3 linked regions of the Macaca fascicularis genome follow. The protein of the gene in region 2 binds, or shares a complex with, the protein of the main gene of each other region. Links are inferred from orthologs where the notes say so. Each region holds a gene or a part of one and is shown on either strand. Other genes may lie near its edges.

The links.
Region 1: the proteins of LCK (region 2) and CD8A are in contact, whole or in part, in an NMR structure (PDB 1Q69), measured with the Homo sapiens proteins. The link is inferred for Macaca fascicularis from reciprocal best matches to the Homo sapiens genes LCK and CD8A. Residues at the interface, in NP_001036236.1 of Homo sapiens: Cys20, Asn22, Cys23, Tyr25, Pro26, Ile27, Val28; in NP_001139345.1 of Homo sapiens: Arg212, Arg213, Val214, Cys215, Lys216, Cys217.
Region 3: the proteins of LCK (region 2) and CD4 are in contact, whole or in part, in an NMR structure (PDB 1Q68), measured with the Homo sapiens proteins. The link is inferred for Macaca fascicularis from reciprocal best matches to the Homo sapiens genes LCK and CD4. Residues at the interface, in NP_001036236.1 of Homo sapiens: Glu15, Ile17, Val19, Cys20, Asn22, Cys23, Tyr25, Pro26, Ile27, Val28; in NP_000607.1 of Homo sapiens: Ala429, Arg431, Ile435, Leu438, Leu439, Lys443, Thr444, Cys445, Gln446, Cys447.

What each region holds. Positions count from the first base shown.
Region 1 is NC_088387.1:23,089,570-23,097,499, forward strand, and holds the start of CD8A (T-cell surface glycoprotein CD8 alpha chain), read left to right. Parts: upstream 1-3,900; 5' UTR 3,901-4,019; coding exon 4,020-4,068; intron 4,069-4,156; coding exon 4,157-4,510; intron 4,511-5,089; coding exon 5,090-5,200; intron 5,201-5,401; coding exon 5,402-5,512; intron 5,513-6,281; coding exon 6,282-6,312; intron 6,313-6,802; coding exon of another isoform or gene 6,803-6,833; exon of another isoform or gene 6,834-6,881; intron 6,882-7,930. UniProt on the Homo sapiens protein: Integral membrane glycoprotein that plays an essential role in the immune response and serves multiple functions in responses against both external and internal offenses. In T-cells, functions primarily as a coreceptor for MHC class I molecule:peptide complex.
Region 2 is NC_088375.1:202,744,509-202,751,677, forward strand, and holds part of LCK (tyrosine-protein kinase Lck), read right to left. Parts: intron 7,105-7,169; coding exon 6,925-7,104; intron 2,820-6,924; coding exon 2,743-2,819; intron 2,652-2,742; coding exon 2,498-2,651; intron 2,414-2,497; coding exon 2,282-2,413; intron 1-2,281. UniProt on the Homo sapiens protein: Non-receptor tyrosine-protein kinase that plays an essential role in the selection and maturation of developing T-cells in the thymus and in the function of mature T-cells. Plays a key role in T-cell antigen receptor (TCR)-linked signal transduction pathways.
Region 3 is NC_088385.1:7,725,975-7,733,143, reverse strand, and holds part of CD4 (T-cell surface glycoprotein CD4), read right to left. Parts: intron 6,166-7,169; 5' UTR 5,971-6,165; intron 4,926-5,970; 5' UTR 4,859-4,925; coding exon 4,810-4,858; intron 4,691-4,809; coding exon 4,526-4,690; intron 1-4,525. UniProt on the Homo sapiens protein: Integral membrane glycoprotein that plays an essential role in the immune response and serves multiple functions in responses against both external and internal offenses.

The sequences.
Region 1 (7,930 bases), on a different chromosome or scaffold from region 2:
ACGGGTGAGAGGACAGAGACTATGAAACCAAGTGCTCAGGGCCTCACAGGCAACATTAGGGATCCCTGACATTCTACTAGGGATACCAGGAAGCCCTCTCAGGTTGAAGCAGGAGGTTGGCATGATGAGATTTTCACTAGAAGGGACCAGAGTAGAAATGGGAGTGTCCAGTTAAGAGGCCATTGCAAAAGTTCAGGAAAGAAGGACAGCAGCCTAGATGAACTTGGGGAACTCGGGGTGGAGGAAAAGAAGGGTGACAGAAGTGAAGCCAAATTGATTGGTATTTCTAATTGAGATAAAACAAAGCCCTAATAACTCTAGAGTTTCTAGCCCTGGACGAGTTAACTCCTTCCAAGAACAGTAACATCTCCATAGACCTGAATTGGCAATGGGGACACAGCAGGCAATTTTCCAGCTATGATTCCAGCTTGTCCCTGCAGTCCATGTCTTAGGAGCAGTGGCACAGAACCCTGATGAATTTCCTACCACTGTTCTGCCCGCTTATGCATTTTGAATATGTCTTTAGTCTACATTAAAATTTTCCATTTCCATGGACCAGTTTAAATCAGCATAGAAACTGGTTACTATCTTACCCTATTTACTTCTGGATATTTTTTAAAATAAGGAGCTTGCTTAAAGGAGTGCAGTCATTCACATTTCTTCATGCCATCCCAAGTGAGTGCTGCAGTGTGGGGTTTGGGAGTTTACCTGGAAGTGATGGATAGGCCCAACCCAGCCCTCTGCACACCTGGTCTACAGAAAGTGTCTCCAGAACTCGTGCAATTGCATCTGTTCTGCCTACTGCAAGGCGGATGTCATTGTGGTTACATCGAAAATCCACCACATTCTGCAAAAAATATCATTGGGGTCACAAAGCCTCCTTGATGGGTTTGACATGTTGCCTTGTCCTCTCCCCTCCAACCCCCGTGGTGCTCTGTACAAAGGGGCTGCCACCCCCCGGCTGACACTTTTCTGAGCTGCAGGGCTAGAAGGCCCCCAAGCTGATTTCCGCAAGACTAAGATGGAACTACTCTATTTTAAAGCAGTACACCCCCAAATCTGGTCATCATCATACTCAGGGTCCTGATTCCCAAGATCCAAATATGTGGAGGTTGACTCTGGCCCCCTCCATGCTTCCACCACTGGGCAAGTGCAGTTTCGTATCTAGTCATCTTCCTTACCACCCTCTTGATTGTAGCCTTTGGCCAGCAGGGCCATTTGACACTCCTGATACAGTGCTGGTGGTACTGAGCAAAATGGCAAACTACCATCTACAGCAAGGATTGATGTGTTGGTGGCCTGTCTGGACTTGATTTCTTCCTTGTCTCCCTCATTCATGTGAGTTGAGGGACAGCACTGCGTCTACACAGCGAGGGACCCACATACCATGCACACACGCACACACATACACACACACACATGCATACATCGATATGCCAGTTATAACCATCATTGCAAAGGTGTTTTCTTTCCCAGCTACCTCATCTTCCATCTGAAAAAGCTGCAGGTACTGGTGCAAGCCCTCAGTGATACAGATACATTATATCTACTACAGCCTTGCTAGTGTTGCAATAATGAGAAATTGCCTAAATGTCCACTAACAGCAGAATTACATTATGGAACACCCACATAAAATGCCCCCATTTATAAGAATGAGGTGGATCTACATCTGCTGAAAGTTCTCCTTCCACTGTGAAACAAAATATCTTGCAAAAATACATATCTTATACAATCCCACGTGTCTAAGATGATGTATAAACATCTGTTTAGGTACAGATAATATCTGAGGGACACATTCAACTGTAACAGTGGTTTTCTGTGGGGAGCAGATGACAGTGATGAGAGTTGAGACAGGGGACTTTGTGTTTGTTTTTGTACAATAATATATTGCACTGTTGTCACTTAAAAGACATTTTTTTAAATTTCAGAATATAAAACGTTACATGTTCCATGTTAGAATAAGCATCTTGGATGCTTTGAGGGAGCTGGAAGGAGGTACTGAAATCCAAATAATTAAAAAAAGAAAAAAAAGCCCATCCAGGCCCCGATATGGTGGCTCACACCTGTAATCTCAACACTTTGGAGGCCAAGGCGGGGCAGAGTACTTGACCTCAGGTATTGGAGACCAGCCTGGGCAACATGGTGAAACCCCATCTCTACCAAAAATGCAAAAACTCAGCCCGGCATGGTGGTGCGCACCTGTGGTCCCAGCTACTTGGGAGGCTGAGGTGGAAGGATCACTCGAGCCTGGGAGGTAGAGGCTGCAGTGAGCTGAGATCGTGCCACTGCACTCCAGCCTGGGCAACAAAGCCAGACTCCATCTCAAAAAAACAACCAACCAACAGCAACAACAACAACAACAGAAAACCATCCAACACTTAAGTTTGGGCCTCACAAGGATAAGGAGAGTGTAGTTCAACAAGCACAGCTCAGCCCATGCTGTGTTTCTGGGGATGGAGGACACATCATGAAGTCTGGGGCATGGTCCTCACCCAGCAGAACTCATAGGTGGGGCAGACAGACATGTGGAACACAGAATGCCAGGTGTCTTGTCTCTAGGATCAAGCAGTAGTAATGTGAGGTGCAGCCACAGTGGGATTCAAAGTGGAAAGATTCAGAAGCCCGGAAGAAATGGGAAGAGGGCATGCCACTGGGGTTAGAAGGTTTCAGGACAGAAACAGGCAAAAAGGAAGGATGAGCCTGTAGTCGCAGCTACTCAGGAGGCTGGGGCAGGAGGATCACTGGAGCCCAGGAGTCCCAAGGCCAGCCTGAGTAAAACAGCGAGACTCCAGTCTTTAAAAAAAGAAAGAAAGAAAGAAAGAAACAGAAAGGAAGGGGACACATGTGTGCTAGGGACAGAAGAGAGAAAACTGCCTCTACCCAAGCATTCACCCACGTCACCCACACCTCCCCGCCGAGCGCCCAGAGCTGGGGGTGAAAGAAATGAGGTCCAAATGAGACTGCACAGGAGCTGCCTCCAGGGCTTTCACAGACCAGCATTCCAGGCAGATCTACAGCAAGTGCAAGGGCGTGAAAGCACAGAGCGCAGGGGTTGAATAACCTCAAGCCTGTGAAGCTGCAGCTGCAGCTGCAGGTGTTTGGGAAAGGCAGGGCAGGGGGCTGTGCGGAGGCTGGGAGGAGCCAGCACCCAAGGGCTGGTCAACCAAGCTGAGGGTTGAGTTTCCATCCAGCAATGCAGGCCATGGGAGGCTGCAGGAGTGACGCTGTTAGATCCCCTTTATGAGAATAATTTTTATAACAACGTGGCTGGAGGACTGGTCAGGAGAGAGACTAGTGTGGGGGCTGTTGCAAAGACTCCAAGAAGAGATGCGACTGTTTGGTGAGTTTAGCCGCTGGATGAAAGGCCGGAAGGATGAGGTCAGCAGCGCACTGACACTGCCACCCAAAGCTTCGGCTGCTGCCGCCCTCATGGAAATTTCCTGGGGGAAGGGAGAGGGCCCTTCCTCGGTGAACACTGGGGCTGCTCTGCGCGAGTTCCTGAGAAGCGGGCAGGTGGCTAGCTCCTCTTCCTTTTCAGCCCTCAGTGCCCATTTTGCCAACAAAAAGGGTGACAGTATAAGAGACGCCTTTAGTGAAGGCAAAGGAAGGGACACTCCCCTCCTTTCCTGCCGACTCTCGCCCTCACTTCTTGAAATCTTTGATCTCCCTTCACCCACTCTGTCACTCTCCTAACACAACCATTTCCAGGGACTATTTCCAAGCCCTTTTCCTCATCCCCGAACCTGCAGTTTTCAGCTGCCCCCAGTTGCCTGACCAGGCTGCCTCGACGGCCCCATTCACAGGCCCCAGACTCCTCACCGGGCTGGAAGGCGACAACCGCGAAAAGGAGGGTGACTCTCCTCGGCGGGGGCTTCGGGTGACATCACATCCTCCAAATGCGAAATCAGGCTCCAGGCCGGCCGAAGGGCGCAACTTCCCCCCCTCCGCTCCCCACCGGCTCCCGCGCGCCTCCCGTGGCGCCCGAGCTTCGAGCCGAGCCGCGTCCTGGGGAGCGCGTCATGGCCCCACCCGTGACCGCCTTGCTCCTGCCGCTGGTCTTGCTGCTCCGTGAGTTTGCGACCCCCGGAAAGGCAGGGGATGGGGCGGGCGGGGGGCGCGGGACTCGGGGCTCAGCCTCGCTTCCTGCTGCCTGCAGACGCCGCCAGGCCAAGCCAGTTCCGAGTGTCGCCGCTGGGTCGGACCTGGAACCTGGGAGAGACGGTGGAGCTGAAGTGCCAGGTGCTGCTGTCCAACCCGACGTCGGGCTGCTCGTGGCTCTTCCAGCCGCGCGGCACCGCCGCCCGCCCCACCTTCCTCCTATACCTCTCCCAAAACAAGCCCAAGGCGGCGGAGGGGCTGGACACCCAGCGGTTCTCGGGCAAGAGGTTGGGGGACACCTTCGTCCTCACCCTACGTGACTTCCGCCAAGAGAACGAGGGCTACTATTTCTGCTCGGCCCTGAGCAACTCCATCATGTACTTCAGCCGCTTCGTGCCGGTCTTCCTGCCAGGTCCGGGCGCGGGGTGCGGCACCTCTCCGCGTGGGGCTTGGGGTTCACCTCAACCTGTTTTCCACACACAGGTCCTGCTTTCAAGCCTCTTAGGGCACCTGGAAGAGACTTAGATATTGTTCCCATTTCACAGACACAGCAAACTGAGGCTAACGTGCGGCTGAGTAGGGACTAGGAATAGTGTTTTACGTCCGGCCGATCTGGGCTCGAGTTCGGATGCTTGTGTGGTTTTGGGCAAATGACTTAAATTCTCTACGCCTCCGTTTGTTCGTGGGTAAAATGCGGACAGCAATCAACCCGCGCTCCAGGGTTGCTGGTTGCCCGGGAGAGAGGACAGGTGCAGGGGAGCGGGCTCCTACGCTCGGGCCGGGCGCCGCGTGCGCTTGGCTAAGCCAAGGCCCGAGCACAGGGGTCCGCGCGCATTCCGAGGTACCCATCCCGTCTCCTCTGCCATCCCTTCTCCCAGGAAAACCGGGGGGGAGGTGTTCCCGTGGGGAAAGGCGCGCGAGGCTGGGGCCGGGGCGGGGGCGCGTCCATAATCCCAGACTGGCCCCCAACCACGCTCTGTTGCCCCTGCAGCGAAGCCCACCACTACGCCAGCGCCGCGACCCCCCACACCGGCGCCCACCACCGCGTCGCAGCCCCTTTCCCTGCGCCCAGAGGCGTGCCGGCCAGCGGCGGGGGGCTCAGGTGAGGCGTGCGGGGGCTCGGGGCGGGGGCGGCACGGACCGCGGGGAGAGCCCATGCCAAGGGGAGCCCTGATACTGTAGGTCAAGGGCTATCCAAGTGGTGGGAAACCGAGTCCTGAGGTGGAGAGACGTGCCTGGGATGGTGGGGCGGTTGAGAGGTCCCGGGCCCGCTCCTAAATGTCGGCGTCTTTGGTGTCGTCAGTGAACACAAGAGGGCTGGACTTCGCCTGTGATATCTACATCTGGGCGCCCTTGGCCGGGGCCTGCGGGGTCCTTCTCCTGTCACTGGTCATCACCCTTTACTGCAACCACAGTAAGTCCCGAGGAATCGCGGCCGGGAGGAGACGGCTCTGCTCCTGCCTTTGGCGCTGCTAGCTCCAGGCGGACCTTGCGGGGTGTGGGGTTGAGATTTCTGGGACTCCCGAGCTGCCCCGCAGGTACAGGCACTTCTTTCCTGGAGATAGAATGCGCGAAAGCCCTTCCCGCTCCTTGCGCTCTCAGAGAGGTTTTGGGAGACAAAGCCCTGTTCCCAGAGCCGCTGCAGCGGGTGTGTTCGGTCAGCGAAGCCCGCAGCGCGCGCACATGTCGGGACACACGACAAATGCCCGCCAGGAGGGGGCCGCTGTGCCCCTGGGTCAAGTGCCCAGGGGGGTTAAGTCAAAACCACGACCAGTTTGAGGTTCGTCCTTGGCCCTCTTCCCGCGAACCGCCTACTCTGCTTTGGGTCCCATGCAAGGGAGGTACCGGGTCAGGTCTGCAGGCTCCCTGCTTCCGCCCGCGTCTGTAGTTGCAATTTTAAAAAAATGGATGCTTGAGACGAAGGATGGGTAAGAAGCCCTTACCGGGCTCTCAAGAGTTATAATCCTCAAAGAAATAGGGGAAAGGAAGGAGAATTCGTAGGGGCCATTGCCTATTTGCCTCATCCAATTTCAGCCCATGATCGTTCTGAAATGATTTTTTGTAAAACCAAAAAACAGCAGCAGCAACAACAACAACAACAACAAAACAAAACAAAAACACTGTCTTTGGGGACTATTGGTGGATGGGGGCACTCACTTTTTCCCTTCTTTTTCCTTATCCAGGGAACCGAAAACGTGTTTGCAAATGTCCCAGGTGAGTCTCTTGGAACGCTCAGCCTGCTCACCTTGGCCAGCCCTGGGGTGGTCTCCTGGTTTCCCCAGTAGCAAATAGTAGCAACTTTTCCCAGAGAGAGGTCATGGCCGTGGAGTCCTGGGGCAGGGAGTCAGGTAGTTTCTGAGCAAAGAGAGGCCAAGGCTGGCATCTGGCCTGCATCCTTGAGAAAAAGTAGGCCCAGGTTAGGCTGGTGTCCACACAGTGTGACTCCAGTAAATCTCCATCTTATTTGGCCTGGCACTTAAAAAAAAAAAAAATACCTGAGGGATTCCCCCAATTCATCCGAGCTCCTTGGAGGACCTGACCTCCTCTTTATTGTGATTATTCCATCTGGGTTTTGTTGTTTTCTTAAGAAAATCTTTTTTTTTTTTCTACTTGGCTGGTCTAGTGTTTTGAGGGAGAGCCAGTCTTTTATCAGCTGAACCAAAAAAATAATGGCTTTGCTTCCTAATTTCTCTGTGTCATGTAGGACCTTGTTTTGCTGTCAAGGACTGGAGTAGAAAAAAGGGGAATGAGATGCAGGGACAATTAGCTCCCTGGCAGCTCAAGTGAGTGCCCCATCCAGTTTCAGCCCATGATCATTCTGAAATGATTAAAACACACACACACACTCATTGTTATAAACCTCCTCTCCACCCGTTGGCTGAGGCATCCCTGTGGTAGCATCTAACAAGTTCCTGCTCTAGTCAGACCTGTGATAGGGGTAATACACCCCATCTCTCTTAATCCTCACAGCAACCTTGCCCCATCTCATGGCTCAGGGATTAGTAAAGTGGCAAAGGCACAATTAAACTCAGATTATCAATAATAATAACCATTTGATGAAAGCCTCTAATGCATGTTACTTGCTTTATAGATAGACTTTTTTAAAGTTTTATAACAACCTTTAAAGTAGTCACGATTACCTGCATTGTACAAATAAGGAAACTGAGGCTTAGAACATTTAGTGATTTGTCCAAGGTCATACTGCCGGGGAGCTGCAACTTCCATCCAAAGCTCAGACACCTTCCCCATGGTTGCAGGCTGAAGTGTTAAGGATAACCGAATATGTACACCAGTTCTATTCAGTAGATGAAATATTTTACATTTTATACCTGGAGTTTGCATTTTATACGCCTGTACATTTTTCTGAGGAAATCCAAATTCAGGACTTTACACATTGTTATTTTTACCAATAAAAATGCAATGAATTTCCAATGCATATGTTATAGGTGATATGCTAAGGGGATAAAGACTGTTTAAAAATCAGCCGGGTATTGTGGTGCATACCTATAATCGAAGCTACTCAGGAGGCTGAGGCAGGAGAATCTCTTGAACCCAGGAGGCGGAGGTTGCAGTGAGCTGAGATCGTACCACTGCACTCCAGCCTGGGTAACAGCAAGATTCCATCTCAAAAAAAAAAAAAAAAAAAAGAAAAGTTTTAGCATTTTAATTATTCAGGGTACACTTGGGAACTTTTGTAGGAGAATCATCCCTTTTCCCAAAACTCTGATTTTGAGATGAATAACTGAGAATAAAGTTCTGCCTTAAAATACAAAGCTATACAGATTAAACACATCTGGGGAATTCCAACACCTGAGTTAATATACTCAGTGAT
Region 2 (7,169 bases):
AATTTTCCTAAAACTCCAAGTTTTGGCTTCTCTTAAAAAAAAAAAAAGATCTAGTTTTTCAGGTCCCCCACGCCTTAATTGCAACCATCTGCTGGAGCAGCTGCAAGTTTACCAAGGTCCCCATTTCTCCCCATTGTCTCCCTGACCCTAATGCTACATGTCAGTTTCCATTTATCATCATGCTTTCACTGCCTATTTTCTTCTAATAGATACATTCCCTATGGGTTTCCTTCTGTGGGAATAGGCGAGGAGCAGTGAGGACCCCTGGCAGGATAACTGGAGAGTATTTCCATATTTCCAGCTCCAGCACTACCCCTGGACTCTGGGTTGGGGCAAGCCCAGGGCAGGGAAGCCCCTCAGCTTTTCACCTGTCTCCAAGGTGTTTTTTTGTTTTTGTTTTTGTTTTGAGACGGAGTCTCGCTTTGTCGCCCAGGCTGGAGTGCAGTGGCACGACCTCGGCTCACTGCAACCTCTGCCTCCCAGGTTCAAGCAATTCTCCTGCCTCAGCCGCCTGAGTATCTGGGATTACCGGTACGCACCACCAGGCCCGGCTAATTTTTAATTTTGTTTTTTTTAAGTAGAGATGGGATTTCACCATGTTGGTCAGGCTGGTCTCAAACACCTGACCTTGTGATCCACCAGCCTCGGCCTCCCAAAGTGTTAGGATTACAGGCGTGAGCCACCACATCCGGCCTTCCAAGGTGTCTTTACCTTCCTTGGAGCAAAGGTCTGTTCACCTTACTCTGGGGATGTGGGACGCTTCTATAAATTTAGCCACTGTGCCGCGCCTCCCTACTCCGTTGTCTTTGTGCTCCATTTCCTCTCCCCAGAGTTTCTTAGCAAGTTCCTTTCAAAAAATTCCATCCCTGTCTTGGCTGAATTCAGGGGTAAAGGGCTTTGTCCAGGAGATGGTGAGGGAGTCAGTGTATACTGACAACCTACTATGAGTCAGGCTCTTTCACAAATGGTCTCTCATTTTTCCTTTTTTTTTTTTTTTTTTTTTTTTTGAGACAAGTTCTCTCTCTGTTGCTCAGGCTGGAGTGCAATAGAACGATCATGGCTCACTGCACCCTCAACCTCCTGGGCTCAAGCGATCCTCCCACCTCAGCCTCCCAAAAAGCTGAAACTACAGGTGTGTGCCACCATGCCCAGCTAATTTTTAATTTTTTTTTTTTGGGGGGGGGAAGAGATGGAGTCTCTCTTTTTCTTTTTTTGAGGCAGGGTCTTGGTCTGTTGCCCTAGGCTGGAGTGCTATGGCATGATCTTGGCTCACTGCAACCTCTCCCTCCCTGGCTCAGGTAATCCTCCCACCTCAGCCTTCTGAGTAGCTGGGACTACAGGCACATGCCACCAAACCTGGCTAATTTTTGTTTTTGTAGAGATGGGGTTTCAACCTGTTGCCCAGGCTGGTCTCGAACTTCTGGGCTCAAGCCATCCTCCCACCTTGGTCTCCCAAAGTTCTGGGATTATAGGCATGAGCCACTGTACCTGGCCTAGTCTCTTATTTTTAATATCAGGAAACTGAGACTCAGAGAAGTGAAGTGACTAGTTCAAAGTGATGATTGATAATAGCTTAGTATTGACCAAGCACTGTTCTAATCTCATATTAGAAATGAGAACAGATGGGAAAGAAGGAATGATCTGAACAAAGCCAAACAGAAAGTTAGCAACAGTGGCAGATCTGCTAATAAAAGGTAGGCCTCTTGTTTCTGAGCTAGATCCTCTTCTACCATACTAGGCTGCCTGGGCCACAACTAAAGAAAAGAGCTGGGGCCGGGCGCGGTGGCTCATGCCTGTAATCGCAGCACTTTGGGAGGCCGAGGCGGGTGGATCACGAGGTCAGGAGATTGAGACCATCCTGGCTAACATGGTGAAACCCCGTCTCTACTAAAAATACAAAAAACTAGCCGGGCATGGTGGCACGCACCTGTAATCCTAGCTATTTGGGAGGCTGAGGCAGGAGAATTGCTTGAACCCAGGAGGCAGAGGTTGCAGTGATCCGAGATGGCGCCACTGCACTCCAACCTGGGCGACAGAGCTAGACTCCACCTCAAAAAAAGAGAAAAAGAAAAGAGCTGGGGTTATTAAAGAGAGATACAGAGATGGAAGCCAGCTCTGGGAGATGTGGCATCTGCCTTGGGATGTTGGAGTCATACCCCTGAAAGGATAGAGGAGATGCAACTACAAAGTTTCAGATTCTGAGACTGGAAAGAATTGAGTGGGGAGACATGGACTTGCTGCCCTTCCCATCACCCTTTCAGTTCCTGCCCTTGGCTCTAACCTGGGTAAGGGATGCGGCCATGGGTGACAATTTCCGTCAGCAGGATCCCAAAAGACCACACATCCGACTTGATGGTGAATGTCCCATAGTTAATGGCTTCTGGCGCTGTCCACTTAATGGGAAACTTGGCTCCTAAGGAGGAGGCAGAGTGAGGTCACCTGGGTCTGCTTGGCTAGACCCTGCAGGGCCCAGATCACCCTTAAATCTCACACTTACCCTCCCTGGCTGTGTACTCGTTGTCTTCAATGAGGCGTGCTAGGCCAAAGTCTGCAATCTTGCAGCTCAGGGTGTCAGACACCAGAATGTTGGCAGCCCGAAGGTCACGATGAATATAATTCCGCTCTTCAATGAATGCCATGCCTTCTGCAATCTGCAGGACAAACACAGATCAGCAATCCTGAGCCAGATGTCTTCACGCCACTGGCCTGTGCCCTTGCCCAGCCCCTCCCCAGTCTCCTTACTTGGGCTGCCATGTCCAGGAGTTTGTTGATGGTCAACTTGATGCCTGAAGAGGTCTTGAGAAAATCCACTAGACTCCCTGTGGGCAGAAGCAAGAGTTGCTGGCCTAAGTTGCCCCAGGAGGAGGTCCCCAGACCCTTCTCCCAGACCCTTTTCACATGTCTGGAAGTGTGTCTGACATGTGAAAAGGAAGAGTGAAGAGTGAGAATGGAGGAGTGTGTGTTCAGGGTAAGGATGCCCAGGATATGTGAAGGTTTTTTTGCAGAGGGAGGGGCTAGGGTAGAGCACGCTGGGAGGGATCTGTAGGTTTTTCATCATCAATAAGGTAGAATTCAGACTCCTCAACTAGTATCCAAAGCTTGACATGGGCGACACTGGTAGCTTCTTCTCTTTCCCTCACTCTGCCTTTGACTTCAAACACTTTAACAATTTTGAGATCCTGCACTCAGACTACTAGGCTGTCACCCCAAAGCCTCTTTATTTCATCTCTGCCTGCTAAAAAAAATTCTACTTTTCTTTCATGGCCCAGTTAGACTGCCCCTCTAGGAAGCCTCTCTAGATCTTAGCAGGCATAATAAACTGGATCATCATCTACACTCCCATGGGCATGCTGGAACTTTCCCATGGCACAAACTCTGGTTTCCCCAGTACCTGTAACTGGGGAACCTTGACAACAGGAACCTTGTTTCATCCATCCATGTTCCTGGTGCCCAGCCCAGAGTAAGAAACAATAACAATGTGCTGAATATATTGGATGGAATACAGAAAGAGGGGGTCTGGGGGTCTGAAGGACCACCTCTCTAATAGTGGAGGGCAGCTGGACATGAGTGGAAGTTGCTAGGATGGAGTGAATGACCACTGGCCCTTCCCAAGAGATTAAAACCCTGTGGGCCGGGCGCGGTGGCTCAAGCCTGTAATCCCAGCACTTTGGGAGGCCGAGGCGGGCGGATCACAAGGTCAGGAGATCGAGACCACAGTGAAACCCCGTCTCTACTAAAAATACAAAAAATTAGCCGGGCGCGGTGGCGGGCGCCTGTAGTCCCAGCTACTCAGGAGGCTGAGGCAGGAGAATGGCGGGAACCCGGGAGGCGGAGCTTGCAGTGAGCCGAGATCGCGCCACTGCACTCCAGCCTGGGCAACAGCGTGAGACTCCGTCTCAAAAAAAAAAAAAAAAAAAACCTGTGAAATGGCCGGGCGCGGTGGCTCATGCCTGTAATCCCAGCACGTTGGGAGGCCGAGGCTGGTGGATCACAAGGTCAGGAGATCGAGACTACGGTGAAACCCCATCTCTACTAAAGATACAAAAAATTAGCCAGGCGCGGTGGCGGGCGCCTGTAGTCCCAGCTACTCAGTATGCTGAGGCAGGAGAATGGCGTGAACCCGGGAAGCGGAGCTTGCAGTGAGCTGAGAATACGCCACTGCACTCCAGCCTGGGCGACAGAGCGAGACTCTGTCTCAAAAAAAAAAAACCCTGTGAAAGGATGACAGCAACCTGAGTGTCCCCACTTTGAGTGCTGAACTAGTTACCAAAGACAAAGACCTCCCCCACACACAGCAAATACGGAGACATATATATACTGCCATTCTTCCATTGTGTCCATGGCAGATGTTACTAATCATTCCCAGCACTCACTTCCATTGAACCTCAGAATCCTTCTCCAGCGCTACAAGCAACCACCAATCAAAGTCGATACACATGATAGACTGGGCATGGTGGCTCACACCTGTAATCCCAGCCCTTTGGGAGGCCAAGGCGGGAGGATCACCTGAGGTCAGGAGATCGACAGCAGCCTGGCCAACAAGGTGAAAACCTGTCTCTACTAAAAATACAAAAATTAGCCAGGCATGGTGGCACATGCTTGTGGTCCCAGTTACTTGGGAGTCTGAGGCATGAGAACCCAGGAGGAGGAGGTTGAAGTGAGCTGAGATCGTGCCGCTGCACTCCAGCCTGGAGGACAGAGTGAGACAAAAAAAAAAAAAAGATACACATGACATAATCTATTTGCGATTTCCCATTAGCCAATGAACAGCTTGTTTCTCTTCCTGAAAGAAGGATAGATCTTACACTCCCAAAGAATCAGAGCCAGATAACAGCGACAAACCTATTGATCAGTTACTATATAGTAGCCATAGTTTTGTGGTTTTTTTGTGTTTTGTTTTTTTGAGACAAGGTCTCACTCTGTTACCCAGGTTGGAGTGCAGTGGTGCAATCACAGCTCAGTGCAGCCTCAACCTCCTGGGCTCAAGTGGTCCTCCCACTTCAGCCTCCCAAGTAGCTGGGACTACAGGCATACACCACCACGCTCGGCTAATTTTTACAAATTTTTTGTAGGAATGAGGTCTCGCTATGTTGCACGGACTGGTCTTGAACTTCTGGGCTCAAGTGATCCACCCACCTTGGCCTCCCAAAGTGCTGAGGTTATAGGCTTGAGCCACTACACCTGGAAGTAGGCATAGTCCTTTTTTTTTTTTTTTTTTTTGAGACCAAGTGTCACTCTATCGCCCAGGCAGGAGTGCAGTGGTGCGATCTTGGCTCACTGTAAACTCTGCCTCCTGGGTTCACGTCATTCTCCTGCCTCAGCCTCCTGAGCAGCTGGGACTACAAGTGCCCGCCACCGCGCAGGCTAATTTTTTTTATTTTTAGTAGAGATGGGGTTTTACTGTGTTAGCCAGGATGGTCTCGATCTCCTGACCTTATGATCCGCCCACCTTGGCCTCCCAAAGTGTTGGGATTACAGGCGTGAGCCACTGGACCCGGCCTAAAGTAGGCATAGTTCTAACTGCTATATATGCATTAATTATTTCATCCTCACAAGACCCTATGAGGAGGTTACTAATGCATTATTATAGTAGGAAACCATGACAGAAAGAGGTGATGTAATTATCACAAAGCCATAAAATCATGAAGCCAGACTTCTGACCCAGGCAGTCAGACGCTAGAGGCCTTGATGAATACTCTGTATTAATTCTGGTGAGCCCATTTAGATTTCTGCTGTTATTCTTGAGGAAACTGAGCACCAGAGACAGTGCAGGCACTTGGCCTGTCACACAGCAAATCGGTGTGAACAAAGCTGAGGCTAGAAACTCGTATTCCTCTTCCTGGGGCTCTCACTCTGTCCAGTATCAGACCAAGAAGGGTGCGGGGTGGGGGGGCTCACTCAGAACTGAAAAAGAGGGCTTCCGGGGCAGATCTGCCCTCCCAAAGCTCAGGGGCAGAAGGGAGAGAAACAGGGGTAGGGACCCATTCGCTTTCTGAGATCAAGCATCCTGAGATCAAGGTAGGGCTTTGAAGAAGGTAAACAGAATGGCAGGTCAGGGCAGGTTGGGGTGAATGCTCTTCCAGAACATTCTTGCTACCTTAGGCTCGCCCCCAGACAGGATCAGAGGATATACCTTTTTCACATGCCTGGAGGTGAGTCTTTTTTTTTTTTTCTTTTTTTTTTTTTCTTGAGATGGAGTCTTGCTCAGTCGCCCAGGCTGGAGTGCAGTGGCGCGATCTCGGCTCACTGCAAGCTCCGCCTCCCGGGTTCACGCCATTCTCCTGCCTCAGCCTCCTGAGTAGCTGGGACTACAGGTGCCCACCACCACGCCTGGTTAATTTTTTGTATTTTTTAGTAGAGACGGGATTTCACCGTGTTAGCCAGGATGGTCTCGATCTCCTGACCTGGTGATCCGCCCGTCTCAGCCTCCCAAAGTGCTGGGATTACAGCTGTGAGCCACTGCACCCGGCCTTTTTTTTTTTTTTTTTTTTTTTTTTTTGAGACAGAGCTCTGTCACCCAGGCTGGAGTTCAGTAGCATGATCTTGGTTCACTGCAATTGCAACCTCATCCTCCCAGATTAAAGGGATTCTCCTGCCTCAGCCTTCTGAGCAGCTGGGATTACAGGCATGCGCCACCACACCTGGCTAATTTTTGTATTTTTAGTAGAGACGGGGTTTCACCATGTTGGTCAGGCTGGTCTCGAACTCCTGACCTCGTGATCTGCTGGCCTCAGCCTCCCAAAGTGCTGGGATTACAGGCCTGAGCCACTGCGCCCAGCTGGAGGTGAGTCTTTAGGGGCCAGGAAAGCTCAATAAACCCTCCTTGCTTGAGCTTTGGGCCAGAAAAAAAGGTGTACTTTCACCCTCCGGCAGGGACAGCGGGGAGAGCAGTGTCCCCCGGCAGCCGACTCGGGCGGCACCCACCATTCTCCATGTATTCAGTGATGATGTAGATGGGCTCCTGGGTGACCACAGCGTAGAGCCGAACCAGCCGCTGGTGTTGCAGCTGCTTCATGAGGTTGGCCTCGGCCAGGAAGGCGTCTGGGGACATGCTACCCTGCTTCAAGCTCTTCACTGCCACCTTTGTGTGCCCGTTGTAGTACCCTGGATCGGGGAAGGGAAGGAGTGGGAGAGTCGCCAGGCAGCTGTCCTGGGACTCTCACCACCTC
Region 3 (7,169 bases), on a different chromosome or scaffold from region 2:
CTCTGTCACCCAGGCTGGTGTGCAGTGGTACAATAGCTCACTGCGGCCTCCACCTCCCGGGTTCAAGTGATTCTCCCACCTCAGCCTCCTGAGTAGCTGGGATTACAGGCATGTACCACCACATCTGGCTAATTTTTTTTTTTTTTTTTTGTATTTTTAGTAGAGACAGGTTTTCACCGTGTTGGCCAGGCTGGTCTCGAACTCCTGACCTCAAGTGACCTGCCAGCCTCACCCTCCCACAGTGCTGGGATTAAAGGCATGAGCCACCGCGGCCTGCCCTATATCATTATTTTTGAAGTGAGTTTCTTATAAACTGCATATTGTTGAATTGTGCTTTTTAATTCATTCTATCGATTTTTGTATTTTAATAGATGTATTAGACCATTTACATTGACTGTAATTATTGATATGTTAGGGCTTGAATCTGTCATTTTATTTTTGTTTTCTGCTTTTTTTGTTTTCTTGTTTCTTTTTCCTGCCTTCCTGGGGGTTATTTGGATATCTTTTTGTAACAAACTTCTTAAGAACAGTTTTAGATTTACAGCAAAATTGTGAAAATGGTGTGGAGAACCATGGAGATAACACTGCCATCCCAGTGAGCCTTTTGGAATGAGAACATCTATCCTATGCCTGTATACCATTGTGTTTTAGATACACATAACTTGCCTGGTTTCACAGGTTCACAGCTGGAAAGAAATTTTGCCTCAGGATGAACCGTATCTCAAGTCTCACCCATACCTGATTTAGATGACATTTTAAAATTCCATTTATTTATTGATTTTGTTTTTTAGAGACAAGTTTCACAATGTTGACCGAGCTGGTCTCGAACTTCTAGGCTCAAATGATCCTCCACTTCAGCTTCCTGAGTAGATGGAACTACGGGTGCATGCCACCAAGCCCTGACTTAGATGCTATGTAGATGAAACTTTGGACATTAGACTTTGGAGTTGATGCTGGAATGAGTTAAGACTTTGGAGGCTATTGAGATGGAATGAATGCATTTTTCATGTAATAAGGACACAAATTTGAGGGGGCAGTGCAGAATACCATGGACCAAATTGAGTCCCCCACAAATTCACATGTTGAAGCCCTCACCCTCAGTGTGATGATATTTTGATATATGGCCCTTGGGAGGTAATTCAGTTTAGATGAGGTTATGAGAATGGGGCCATCATGATGGGATTAGTGTCCTTATAGGAAAAGACATCAAAAAGCTTTCTTTCTCACCGGTCGTGGTGGCTCATGCCTGTAATCCCAGCACTTTGGGAGGCTGAGGTAGATGGATCATCTGAGGTCAGGAGGTCAAGGCTGGCCGGACCAACAGAGCGAAACCCCGACTCTACTAAAAACACAAAAATTGGCTGGGTGTGGTAGCAGGCACTATAATCCCAGCTACTTGGGAAGCTGAGGCAGGAGAATCACTTGAACCTGGTAGGTGAAGGTTGCAGTGAGCTGAGATCATGCCATTGCACTCCAGCCTGGGCAATACGAGTGAGGCTCTGTCTGAGAAAAAAAAAAACACATAAAAACACGCACACACACAAGGAGGCCGAGTGCGGTGGCTCATGCCTGTAATCCCAGCACTTTGGGAGACTGAGGCAGGAGGATCACTTGAGGTCAGGAGCTCTAGAGTACCCTGGCCAACATGGTGAAACCTCGTTTCTACTAAAAATACAAAAAAATTAGCCGAGTGCGGTGGCAAGTGCCTGTAAACCCAGCTACTCGGGAGGCTGAGGCAGGAGAATTGCTTGAACCCAGGAAGCAGAGATTGCAGTGAGCCAAGATCGGGCCACTGCACTCCAGCCTGGGCAACAGAGCGAAACTCCATCTCAAAAAAAGAGAAAGTTTTCTTCTGTTTCTCTCTGCCATGTGAGGACACAGCAAGAAGGCAACTGCCTGCAAACTAGGAAGAGATCCCTCATAATCTGACCATGCTAGCATCCTGAAATCAGAATTGTGATAAATAAATTTCTGTTGTTTAAACCACCCAGTCCATGGTATTTTGCTATGGCATTCCTAAGAGACTAAACTAAAAAAATACAAAAATTAGCTGGGCGTGGTGGTGCATGCCTGTAGTTCCAGCTACTTGGGAGGTTGAGGCAGGAGAATTGCTTGAACTTGGGAGGCAGAGGTTGCAGTGAGCTGAGATCGTGCCATTGCACTCCAGCCTGGGTGACAGAGCAAGACTCCGTCTCAAAAAAAAAAAAAGTTAGTCTAATAATTGATAGTCTCATTATGGTATAGCTTAAGGAAGGAGTAGGATAACAGGTATATACAGTATGATATCATTTACATAATTATATATATAATATTATCCACACTGACCAAGAGTGGAAGAAAATAGGCCACATGCAGTGGCTTATACCTATTTTCCCAGCACTTTGGGAGACCAAAATGGGATCACTTGAGCCTAGGAATTCAAGACCAGCCTGAGCAACATGGTGAAATCTCATCTCTACAAAAAATTAAAAATTAGGTGAACATGGTGGCGTGCACCTGTAGTCCCAGCTCCCGGGAAGGCTGACGTGGGAGGATAACTTGAGCCTGCAATGTGTTGTGGTCATGCCACTGCACTCCAGCCTGGGCAACAGAGTAAGACCCTGTCTCAAAAAGGAAAAAAAAAAAAAGAAACATTGGATGAAAATAAATCAAAATGTTAGCAGAGGATATCTCTGAGTGGTAGAAGTATGCATGCATTTGATTTTCTTCCATGTTCTTTCCTTCGTTGACCAAATATTTTGTGATGAGCATATAATACTTTAAATCAGGAGAAAAGGCCGAGTGCAGTAGCTCATGCCTATAATTCCAGCACTGTGGAAGGCTAAGGCAGGCGAATCACTTGAGGTGAGGAGTTCGAGACCAACCTGGCCAATATGATCAAACCCTGTCACTACTAAAAATACACAAATTAGGCATGGTGGCACACGCCTGTAGTCCCAGCTACTCAGGAAGCTGAGGCAGGAGAATGGCTTTAACCCGGGAGACAGAGCTTGCAGTGAGCCAAGATCATGCCCACTGCACTCCAGCCTGGGCAACAGATCGAGAGTTTGCCTCAAAAAAAAAAAAAAAAGTAGAAAAAAAAATTCTGGGCCAGGCACAGTGACTCACGCCTGTAATCCCAGCACTTTGGCAGGCCAAGGCGGGTGGATCATGAGGTCAGGAGATCAAGACCAGCCTGACTAACACAGTGAAACCCTGTTTCTACTAAAAGTACAAAAAATTAGCCAGGCATGGTGGCACATGCCTGTAGTCCCAGCGACTTAGGAGGCTGAGGCAGGAGAATCGCTTGAACCCGGGAGACAGAGGTTGCAGTGAGCCAAGATCACGCTACTGCACTCCAGCCTGGGCGACAGAATGAGACTCCGTCTCAAATAAATAAATAAATAAATAAAATAATAATAATAATTCTGCAATTTTTTTTTTTTTTTTGAAATAGAGTCTTGCTCTGTCACCCAGGCTGGAGTGCAATGGTGCAATCTCAGCTCACTTCAGCCTTTGCCTCCCAGGTTCAAGTGATTCTCCTGCCTCAGCCTCCTGAGTAGCTGGGAATACAGGCCTGCACCACCACGCCCGGCTAATTTTTGTATTTTTAGTAGAGACCAGGTTTCACCATGTTGGCCAGGCTGGTCTTGAACTCCTGACCTGCGGTGATCTGCCCACCTCAACCTCCCAAAGTGCTGGGATTACAGGTGTGAGCCACTACAGCTAGCCTTTTTTTTTTAATTAAAAAAATTTTTTTGGCTCGGCATGTAATCCCAGCACTCTGAGAGGCCAAGGTTAGTGGATCACTTGAGCTCATGAGTTCGAGACCAGCCTGGCCAACATGGTGAAACCCTGTTTCTACAAAAAATACAAAAATTAGCCAGGCACGGTGGTGCATGCCTGTAGTCCCAACTACTTGTGAGGCTGAGGTGGGAGGATGACTTGAGCCTGGGAGGTGGAGATTGCAGCGAGCCGAGATCACACCACTGCAATGGAGCTTGGGTGATAGAACCAGACCTTGTCTCTCTCTCTCTCTCTCTCTCTCTCTCTCTCTCTCTCTATATATATATATATATATATATATATATTTTTTTTTTTTTTTTTTTTTTTTTTTTTTTTGTAGAGACAGAGTCTCACTATGTTTCTCAGGGTGGTCTTGAACTCCTGGACTCAAGCAATCCTCCAGCCTCGGCCTCCCACAGTGCTAGGATTACAGATATGAGTCACTGTGCAAAATATTATCTACATGGGTCTGTAGCAACAATACTCAAGAAATCATGGGTGTTAAGTGGTAGTGATTGTTGTAAAACTCACTAAAATAAGTTCATGAATATTAAAATATTCAAATTAACATACCACCAAAAGCCTTTCCCTGGGCCACCAGCAGTTGGTGTAGGGAAACTCTGGACAAGAATGCCACTGAGTTTCTGTCAACCCCAGCCCTCTGGGATCCCAAAGTTTAACTAAGAGCAGATCTCAGACACCAAAGGCTTTCAATCCATAGTGTGTTTTCCTCCCTGGATGGGGGGCCAGGGAGCCCTACCTTTAGTTAAGAAGGAGCCCTGAATTCCCAGAATCTTTATCTGGTTGGAGTTTTTCCAGTGGAATTGTGTGTTCTTCTTCTGCGAAGCATTACAGGTCAGTTCCACTGTATCCCCTTTCTTGCCCAGCACCACTTTCTTTCCCTGGGTGACTGCTGGGAGTAGCGCTGGGTGGAAAAGAAAGGAGTCAGGTCCCAATGCTGCCGCTGTCCCCCTCTACCCCATCCTCCACCTTTGCCTTTCCTCCCACGCCATCTGCATTGAGACCCCAGGTCTGAGAACTTACCCAGTTGCAGCACCAGAAGCAAGTGCCTAAAAGGGATTCCCCGGTTCATTGTGGCCTTGCTGAGGGAGGCAGGGGCTTGAGCCAGTAGGGACCTGAGCCTGCAAAAATGGCAGGGCCTGAGGGAAATACCAATCATTAGTCAGCAAACATTTATTTGACCTGGAGTATACAGGGGCCATATGCAACCTCTCCCTCAGGACCCTTGCAGCCAGCCCAGTGAACTTGAGGTAGGAGAACAGCAGAGGGAATTGGAGGTTGGATTAAGGAAGGAATGAGTAGGAGCACAAGCAAGAGAAAGAAGGAAGTGAGCAAAAACAGAAGTAAGATAAATAAGTGAATAAGGAGCCCCATGGCTGGCTAGATCCAAACCAAACCAGTAAGGAGGAGCTCCTAAGAGATGGGCATGTACTGGGCTGGGTGCAGTGGCTCATGCTTGTAATCCCAGCACTTTGGGAGTCCAAGGTGGGTGGATCACTTGAGGTCAGGAGTTCAAGATCAGCCTGGCCAACATGGTGAAACCCTGACTCTACTAAAAATACAAAAATGAGCCGGGCATGGTGGCATACACCTGTAGTCTCAGGTACTCAGGAGGCTGAGGCAGGAGAATCACTTGAACCAGGGAGGTGGAGGTTGCAGTGAGCCGAGATTGTGCCACTGCACTCTAGCCTGGAGGACAGAACGAGACTCCTCAAAAAAAAAAAAAAAAAAAAGCACATGTACTCCAGAGAAAAGAAGATATCCTTAAAATGACCCCATATAGTAATTGGCTACTTAAGGTTCAGAGTGCATATCATGCATGTACTTAAAATTATGGGAAGGAGGTGACACACAAGCACACAGAGGCCAAGAAACTGAGCAACTCACCTGTCAATCAAAAGGCACATGCCAGCTAAAGATTAGGCAGCTTGAGGAAGAAGAGAAAAAGACACATAGAAAAGGCATGAAGTATAACAAACCATAACTGACACCATTCGCTGGTCATCCTCGATCCATAGTGGATTGTACCGTGCTTAATAAACTTTTTGCTGTTTTGCTATTTGTGTGTGTCATGTCCAATTCTTTGTTTGTGGCACCAACAAATGATGGTTGTGGGACTTCACAACATCAGTTGGTAACAAACTAAACTTGCACACTCCTAACTGGATGCTCGGAGATACACACCACGAAATGCTATGCTCAGGCCAGGAGGGGGTTCTTTGCTGGGATGAGTGAAGAGGGGATCAGAAAAGGATGCACGGAGAAGGTGACAAATTGGTGGGGAGACCATGGAGCCAGGCCAGGACGTGGAAATGCTTGAAGGCTGTGCTGAGATGCTGCGACTGGATCCTGGGCACTAGAGAGCCAGCAGAGGATTTTCTATAGAGAAGAAGGTGATTAGATTTGCCACGTGGACCCCTGAAGCTGCTGAGTGAAAGAACTGGAGGAGGTGAGGCACCAAAGGCAGGACTGCAACCATCCTGGTGAACAAAGGGCCTGAGCCAAGTGGCTGTGGGAATGTGTGGGACAGTTCTAAGGTGACATTCCCAAGGATTGGGGCCTGATATAGTGTGAGAGGTGTGGGGAAAAGAAAGAGAGATCAGATTGTTACTGTGTCTGTGTAGAAAAAGAAAGACATTGACCGGCTGCGGTGGCTCACACCTGTAATCCCAGCATTTTGGGAGGCCGAGGCAGGCAGATCACCTGAGGTTAGGAGTTCATGACAGCCTGACCAACATGGAGAAACCCCGGCTCTACTAAAAATACAGAATTAGCCAGGCGCGGTGGCACACGCCTGTAATCCCAGCTACCAGGGAGGCTGAGGCGGGAGAATTGCTTGAACCCGGGAGGCAGAGGTTACTGTGAGCTGAGATTGTGTCATTGCAGTACAGTCTGGGCAACAAGAGCAAAACTCCGTCTCGGGGGAAAAAAAAAAAAAAAAGAAGACATAAGAAACTCCGTTTTGATCTGTACTAAGAAAAATTGTTCTGCTTTGAGATGCTATTAATCTGCAACTTTTGTCCCAAACCTGTGCTCACAAAAACATGTGCTATATTGAATCAAGGTTTAATGGATCTAGGGCTGTGCAAGATGTGCTTTAAAAAAGTTCTTGCAGGCCGGGCGCGGTGGCTCACACCTGTAAACCCAGCACTTTGGGAGGCCGAGGCGGGCAGATCACGAGGTCAGGAAATCGAGACCATCCTGGCTAACACGGTGAAACCCTGTCTCTACTAAAAAATACAAAAAACTAGCCGGGCGAGGTGGCGGGCGCCTGTAGTCCCAGCTACTCGGGAGGCTGAGGCAGGAGAATGGCGTGAACTCGGGAGGCGGAGCTTGCAGCGAGCTGAGAGCACGCCACTGCACTCCAGCCTGGGTGACAGCAA